Drosophila melanogaster: one gene and its partner. The protein of the gene in region 2 interacts with the protein of the main gene of each other region in a pairwise test. Each region holds a gene or a part of one and is shown on either strand. Other genes may lie near its edges. The genes, in order: l(3)neo38 and GstZ2.

The links.
Region 1: the proteins of GstZ2 (region 2) and l(3)neo38 interact in a two-hybrid assay, tested with the Drosophila melanogaster proteins (2 studies listed by BioGRID).

Annotation. Positions count from the first base shown.
Region 1 is NT_033777.3:11,775,815-11,780,692, forward strand, and holds the start of l(3)neo38 (lethal (3) neo38), read right to left. Parts: upstream 3,315-4,878; 5' UTR 3,168-3,314; exon of another isoform or gene 3,044-3,167; intron 2,808-3,043; 5' UTR 1,865-2,807; coding exon 1,660-1,864; intron 1-1,659.
Region 2 is NT_033777.3:9,456,898-9,460,446, forward strand, and holds GstZ2 (glutathione S transferase Z2), read right to left. Parts: upstream 1,950-3,549; 5' UTR 1,921-1,949; coding exon 1,698-1,920; intron 1,637-1,697; coding exon 1,306-1,636; intron 1,229-1,305; coding exon 1,099-1,228; 3' UTR 750-1,098; downstream 1-749. UniProt on the Drosophila melanogaster protein: Catalyzes the glutathione dependent oxygenation of dichloroacetic acid to glyoxylic acid in vitro.

The DNA of each region.
Region 1 (4,878 bases), 2.3 Mb from region 2:
TGGGAATCTAATTATGCAAGCAAATGCAGCTAATTAGAATTGATAAGAAGAAGGACCCTTTGGTTAGGGGCTAGTATAGGGGTTATGTATTCTATATATCGGGAATGGAAGCGACCGACCGCCAGACCGTCCAACCGGTCACACCCTTCCACTAAAACAAAAAAAGTTGCAAGTTGGCAGGAAGTCAGTGCAATTAAAAAGGCAAAGGCAGGCTCTCGTGGGTTGGGGGTTGTAACTCACACTCAAACACACACACACTCACTCACATACTCTCGCCCAACACACATACGTATATGCATTTAATTGTATTTCTATGTATGTGCTTAAGTAGCTGAAGAGAGCGGTGAAACCCACCCCTACAAAAAAACAAAGTGAAATGCAGCAAATTCAAAAGTTATTTGAGTTCATTGCATTTTCAAGCCACGCAAAACAACAACAGCCATAGCTTACACTCACACACACACAGGTTACACCCACTTGGGGGTGGGTGGTAATGACTCAAAACATAGAGCGGAATATTCGTATAAAAAGAGCGCAAAACAAAAACAACGACGAAAAAATCGTTAAATTCTGCTTTGATGACAGGGTATACTCGTACTCGTACTAAGTCGCTCCAACCCGCCAACCAACCCCCAAAAAATTGTAGTGCGGTTTACAAATTGCCTGAAGAAGATGTCTTTGCTAGCCAGAAAGCGAGAATTTCGTAGATGGGGGTGGAAAACCCGCTTACACTCACACATGTCTTTATGCGAATGTCAGTAAGTAGATCCAGATGGAAGCCACCTTTCGCTGGGAATTCAAGGAAAGTATTGTTCGAGTTTCAAGTGGGACTTTTTTTTTAGCTGAGTATTGGAAACGAAATTTTAACTAAGCTTCAGAGAATTGAAACTATTGAGAATTATTCATAGGATTGTCATAAGGTCCTACGATTTGTTTGAAGCAAAGTATGCTAAACAGAAGGTCAAATCAAACTTTATGTTGAGATCAATAAACCTCTTTGTTCGTGAACTCCAGAATATTATTGTAAAATAATACAGCTATAAGCAATTTGTATTAATTTCATTTAAATATTTTTGCTTACTCTACTTGCTTTTTCCTGCCGTCATGAATACTAAAATATGAACCAATTGGACAATCAAGAGGTGTTATTCACCGAAATTAGAGGTTGTATATTTTTTACGTTTTACTATTCTCATTTATGATGATCTTAATCATAAGTTATTGCAAGAAGTACCCGTTAGTTTTTGATGACTATCAGCAGCCCGTTTAGTTTATTTTTGAAAAAGAAGGCTATCCAGAAGTTGCCATTCCAACAAGAGTAGTGCCCTTTGCCCCAAAACAAGACCCTCTGTGTGTAGGGCATTAGGCGAGGCAGTAGCCGACCCCCTCTGCCACTGCCTCTGTCAACGACTCTGTCTCCCCACCACCACCGCCACTGTCGCTGCTCGAGTGAGAGTGTATACCCCCTGACGCTTTGACGCCGGCGTCGCTGCCCGCAGCGGGCGAAAATAAATCGATAAAAATAAAATAAATTTTTAGTGATTATGTTATACAGACACATGTGCCTGCATGTGCATTGCAGGCGATTGTCTGTCCGTATGTGTAGCCACATTGTAAATGTTGTATAGTATAGTGTAGTGGTGGGGCAGATGCACTTACCGTTGGGCACATTCTGATTAAAGTGATTGCCATTGGTCTGATATCGCTGCACATGGTTATCGGTGCCGGCCGCTGCCGCTGCGGCTGCTGCATTCGCGGCAGCCGCGGGGGGCGTGCCGAAGGCGCCCGGCGTCTGGGCGTCGAATTTAGCGGCAAATTGGTGGATGCCGGAGAAGGGGCCGCCGAACGCGGAGAAGTTCATCATGTCAGGATCGGGATGATCGGCGGGGTAATGGATAGTAGTTCTAGGGCCTCGAGGGGCCCTTTTGGTTTAAGCAAGACAATCTTTCGAATCGCTTTAGCACTAAAACTCGATCGGTCGCTAATATTACTTGCAATTCTATTTCTTTTCTTTTTTGTAATTATTTTCTGCACAACGCGAAACGATGACGAAGTGTTGTAGTGGGTGGTGGCGGTAATGGTAATGATGGTGGTGGTGCGCTGGTTGTGTGCCTTCTGTTGTTGTTTTCCTGTTCTCCGCCGTCGCTGGTGGGGGTTGGTTTTCTTTTCTTTGCCTCCTTTCCCCTGGTCGCACTCATACACTAGCACTCACACAGAGGCACATAGACACACGTACGCGCTTACGAGCGCACAGTTTTATGCTGTGCTTTGCTTTTTCGGGGGTAGAAAAGCAGAAAAGCGGGCCCAAACACAACACGTACACACACACACACACTAGCTCGCACACGCGGAGAACCACTTTCGGTTTCGATTTTGATTCTCGATTCCGCTGGATTCTGATTCCGATTCTGCTTCTGCTTCGCCTCAGCTCGAACTAAGCACGCACACACAACCGGCGGAACGGAGCGGAATCGCACTAAAGTCTCGCTTACGATTTCGCTTACGACCGGCTCGTCGAGGCTCCGACATCAAACTAAAAGTAACATTACAACGAGGCGAAAGAAAGCGGAAACACTGGGCCAGGCAAAGCGACGCGGACGCGGACGGCGGCAGCGCTGCGACGCAAATGACAGTGACAGTGCCCAGAGGCACGCTGGGTATATCGGTTGGGAGGTATTCGCACCCCTTTTCCTCGCTTATGGTTTAGATGGTTTTTAGTTTTTATATTTCGTTAGAGGGCTAATGGCACTCGTTTTCATCCAATCTCTCATGGTTACCTTTATCGGTAGTTTAGATGGGTATTTTACCTATAAGTTGATCGTTTAATTAGTTTTTCAAATTATTTAATACATATAATAAATAGAATGTTTTTAAATCAACCGATTGCTAATGATAATTTTACACCCCTTTTAGCGCTCCTCTTGTTAAATATATTTTTTTTAATTATTCCCAAGATCATGTTAAGCATTGGCAATGACCCCCCGCATTTACTGGGTAGCAACTATTCGTCTACCAACCAATTGCACGACTGCAGCATTCTTACATGTCTGTATTAGTTCGCTGTGTGTTTGTACGACTGTCTGTATGTTTGTGCGCTGTGTGCCGCTTTGAGGGTGGAAGTTTTTCTACTTCTCTGGAAAATGCGCGTTTATTTGAACGTTCCTTACATTTCGCTGCACCGAGTGTCGGGCATATGACACTGGTCCCAGGCCCCTGCTCCCGAAATTGGCTTGGTCACTTGGCCAGATTGCTGGGCAGAATATTCATGCGCGATCCGTGCAGGCGAAGTGCAATTTATGCTGGGACTGAAGCCGATACCGAGCTGATCCGAACCTCATAGCCAGACACGCAGTGAGACGAGCCACGAAATTCGCTGTAAGTTATCAGGATGAAAACCGGTTGGGAGCGAAGCATAAAAACTGGTTTCCAGCGAGAGATGAGCTACTTTTTGTGACCGCCGTCGAGGCAACAACAAATGTATTGACAACGTCGACCAGGATGACTTTTTGAATATCTGGATTTGGTTTAGGCACAGCAGAAAGGGCCATTAAGATTGCATTTATGTATTTTAATGGTAGGGAATAAATTTATTTGCATAACAAAATTCTGGATCTTGATCACTTTGGATGCCCTAAACTACTAAAACTACTATTGTAGTTCTTTGGAGGGTAAAAGGATAACCTGCTTTTAATATATTTCCTGATAATGGCTACCTTGTTGAAGAACATTTTTTAAAAATATTACATTATATCTGGGTTTGAATATAGCCTTTAGGACTCGAAACAATCATAATGAAATTTCTTATTAACTTGCAAAAAGGGTACTCATAGATCGACGTAGAGTGTCCACAAGAAAAACGCACATACAATGCGCCTTGTATTTTTATTTGGTTTTCCAACTTTTTGGGGTTGTGTGGTATGGCTGTGCACTTATACGTTTACATGTGAATATGTCAGTTTGTAGCGGCGTATGTACGATGTGTTTTCAAGTATCTATGTTTGGCTATATGCTTGTGTGCATGTATCTGGATCTGTTTGCCCACGGACATGTGTAGACGAAGGGAAAGGAGAGGCCGAGAGAGCAGAGCGTTCTCGAGCGCATTGCTCTCGTTGCATTCAATTCTGCCTCTGCTGTATGTTGTATTAATGAAAGTGAGTCCAGCGGCGAAAGAAAGCAGGCCGTGGAACTAAGACAAGTTCTTTTTTTGATTCCGCTTCTGCCTCTGTTCTCCTGCCTTCTTGCAAGTGTTTTCATGTTTTCCAAACCCACATCTAGGGGTTCGAGATCGGTAAAATAACTCCCCCTAGGAGTTTCGACCCATTTTCAATTAGTGATCCCTCTTCATTATGAATTTTGATGACAGATAAATACTTGTATGTACATACATATATATGTACATACATATATACCCCCATTTACATAAGCTTAATTAACGGAAATATTTCTATAACCTAGAGATATAATAATATGCGTATGACTTCTTTTTTTAATAAATTTAAGCAATCTCTATTTATAATATTAACATTATTAAGTAACAAAATAAATGCGCAGGAGACCGGCAAGTCGATTCGACTGCACCTTAATTTTTATGTGTTAATTCACATATACACGTGCACTTGCATAAGCGCCTGTGTGTGCATGTCTGTATGTCTTTTCTCATTCTTGTTTTTTCCTGTTGCAGTCTTGTCTTCTACTCGTTTAATACAGAGGGTTGGAGTTTTTTACGTTCTCTCACATTCTCCTTGTTTCGTCTCTCACTCACTTGCTCGTTCTCTCGTCTTCTCTCTTTCTGCCGCGCTTGAATCTTTGAATGCAATGCTTTGTTTAGCTTGATTTTCGAGCAATTGCAACTGTTACATGTGTTATCTAGAGTTTATA
Region 2 (3,549 bases):
CAATTTGGTATTCGATTCGATTGGTGTGCGAAAATGCGCAGCTCGACCTATATGTATGTTTGTATGATGATGACTATTGGCGTTCGTTCTTCGACTCGTGCGTTGTACTGTCGTGCAGGATAGTAAGTATGGGTGTTTGTGTGTATGTACTTGGCATCGGCAGGCTTATGTTTATAACTACTCGTACGGGGTTGTGAGGAGACTCACACGGTCCAAGTTACATCAACTTGCTAATAAAATTACTGTGCACTTAATCGGTTCGCTTTGTATTTCGTCTATGTGCATTGGATTTAGGGAAATACTTCGTTAGTTAGTTATGCTTTCGTGGTATCAAAGAGGCATTACGAAATCCAGAACCATCGAATAGGTGATCGATTCTTTAGCTTAGTTCACATAAATTACTTAGGATTTATTCGATTTAGTGTATATGTAGCTTGCTTTAGTTTACTTATTGGTTGACTGACGTTTTGTACTTTGTGAACGATTTGTTTAGCATCTGCCCTTTGACTTTGACATGAAGTACTTATACATACATACATACATACATCGTTTATACTTGTAAATCTTCGATAGTGTTTCTAAATTTGGTTTTGGTTTTTTTTTTTTAAATCCCTGAATTGAATTTTGCTTTTCGTCGTGAGTTCTCCTTGAATTTGTTATGATTTGTTAGCCTAAATAAAATGCATAAAAATAAGTTACATTTAATATATATGAGTTCATCTTTTAGATCATATTCACAATGACAAACTAAGGGAATTTGAAGAATTTATTATACGATTTTTTGTTCCGTTTTCTGAGAATTTTGCGTTTGCGTTTGCGTTTGAATTTCGTGTGAGGAATTTCGTTATGTTATCGATAGTATTTTTATGCATTTATGCATATTTAAATGCTGTTAGCAATTTCTTAAATCACATCCGACTGTTTCTGCTTAATGGAATCCTCGCCAGCTTTGCCATCCTATCCAATCCATTCTCCATCGCCATCGCCATCCACGTGCCCACCGATCAGATTTAAGTTCTTAGTTTGTCTTGTGCCTGGTTTACGAACTGCAATTCACTTTTTCGTCTTACGGCGCTTTGCAGTTGGGGTCGGAAAATTCTATTTGTTGGGCAGCTCCGGCGGACAGTCCGGTTGATTGGAGGGATGGGCCGCCCGGAATGCCGGATTGCTCTCCAGTTCGCGATCGATGCGCAGAATTATGGGATACGGTCGCAAGTCGACGTGGAATCTGGAACGAAATAGGAATCAATGAATCAAGCTAGGCTTCAGCATCTCGAGATTTAGTTGATTTCGTATCATACTTACCTTCGGGCATTGAACACCTGAGGTACGAGGCAGCAGTCCGCCATGGAGATCTCATCGCCCACGCAATATTTGCCGGCCGAAGTGGACAGCGCCTTCTCAACCGCCCGGAAGCCTCGTGTAATCCAGTGCTGGGCCCACTCCTTCTTCTTCTCCTCGCCCACATGGATGAGCACGATGAGGTTCTGCAGGGGCTGGATGCCAGAGCAAATGATCTCGACTATTTCGCGCACCTTGGCCCGCTTGTGGACGTCCTGTGGCAGGAGTGGTCGCTGGGGACGTGTTTCCTCCAGGTAGTGCATTATGGCTACCGATTCGATGAGGGTGTGTCCATCTGATGGTGGATATGTGGTGAGTAAAGGAAGTTGACTTGGGTTTCTTTGGTAGATACTTACCAATCTGTAGGGCGGGCACCTGCTCCATTGGATTCACCTCGCGGTACTCATTGCAGTGCTGCTCGCCACCGGATTTGATCAGGCTGATCGGCTTGATGTCGTAGGGTATCTCCTTCAGGTTCATCGCAATGCGCACGCGCCAGGAGCACGAGCTGCGCCAATACGAGTAGAGTATTGGCTGTATGTCGGAGGAGGAAGCATTGGGACAGAGATTAGTAGACATTTTACCACAACTGGCCAGCGCCGAATGGCGTGACGGGCCCACAAACTCTATTACGAAATCTATTTATTCTAATTCGGAGACAACAAACAACACAAATAGCACAGAACAGGTTGCCGCTGATAACGAGTTGGGTTAGTAGGCGCACAACAAGCCTAGTCAAACTGGTTTAATCATTTGCATTTAGCGCGGCTATTTGGTTTACTTCGCGATAAGCCAGAGCACTCAATTACGCACTTATCGCTTATTTCTATGCACAGATAACAGGGATTTTCTCCGAGGCTCTCGGATGGATGTTTGCATATGTACCCACATGATTCATGGTGTCCAGACAGGAGCAACGCCAGCGATAGACTGACAAAAAGCACAGCGTTGAGTTCGACTTGCACCAAAAATAGCGCCCGACAACAGCTGCAAAGCAACAGTGGAGAGCTTCGGGCGGTCGAGGTGGTCGGTATCGGACCCTATACCATATACTATATATCCTAACCAAATGGCCGCCGATGAGGACGAGCCCTAAAATGATATACACACAGCTGGCTGTTCCGGCTTGGCCAATCAACCCAGCAGAGCCTATCGACGGGTCGTTGTCGTCGCCACCCACACGAAACTGTATTCACCGAAAGCATAATGAGTTCCCTAAAAGTTCAATGAACCCAGGCGAAAGTGAGGACGGTGGGTCCGATAAGTTTCGATATCCGACATCCTACATTCGAACCCCGAACCCCGAGCAGCGAGGTCCCGAGCTCCCGAGTCCCGAACTGTGTCGCACCCCAAGGTCGGCTAGGGGCATTAACCTTATTCAAGTTGTCGTTGTCCTGAGTCCACAGCGCGAAGGCAGCTCCAAGGACACAGGACCCCTACTCAAGAGAAAATTGGCTCAGAAGTTTCGCCATTCGCTTGGAGAGGGTGTGCTTTTTCAGGGGTTGCTCGGCCGTCGGCGCGTTAGAGTTTGAGTCAAAACCCAGGGGCAGGGTTGTCGAGTTCGGTCTAAAACTAAGCCATAAGTGGAAGGCGGGTTGGATTAGATGCCTCTCTGTTATAGCTTATATTTATTCCAACAAATGTAAAACAGTTATTCAAAAAGCCTTTTACCTAAATATGTATAGTGATTAAATCAAGCAAGTTTTATAAATTAATTTAAGCAAGGACAAATGTTTATATTCATTTATACAACCGGATTTTTGAAATTGAAATGCATATCCTTTTTTGCAACTTTTCGCCGCCTGACAACCCTGTTTTGCAACTTTTGCAGTGTGTACGCGAGGGAGGAGAGCTCGCTGTTCTGCGCAAAATCAAATTGCGGATTCGAAAGCGGGGTATGAGTGAAACTTAGACCAAGTGAACTGAAGTCAGAGATTGCTGGCCGCGTGGTATGAGTGATATTTGCGGGAACTGGAATGGATTTTTGCCAAATGCCCGAAAGAAGGCGCCAATGACGCTGGGATTCGCTTACCTTGGCTATGGCCGATAAGGACATAGCGTTGTGGTGGTACTTTGAGTAATTAATTTTGAAGCCGTTTGGTGCACACGCACAACACCGATGAAGAATTAAAAGAGGTTACGATCCAAGCCGGTTTATCGAAAAGCGACAATTACTCCTCGGATATCTGTCTATCCAGCTAATTCCGC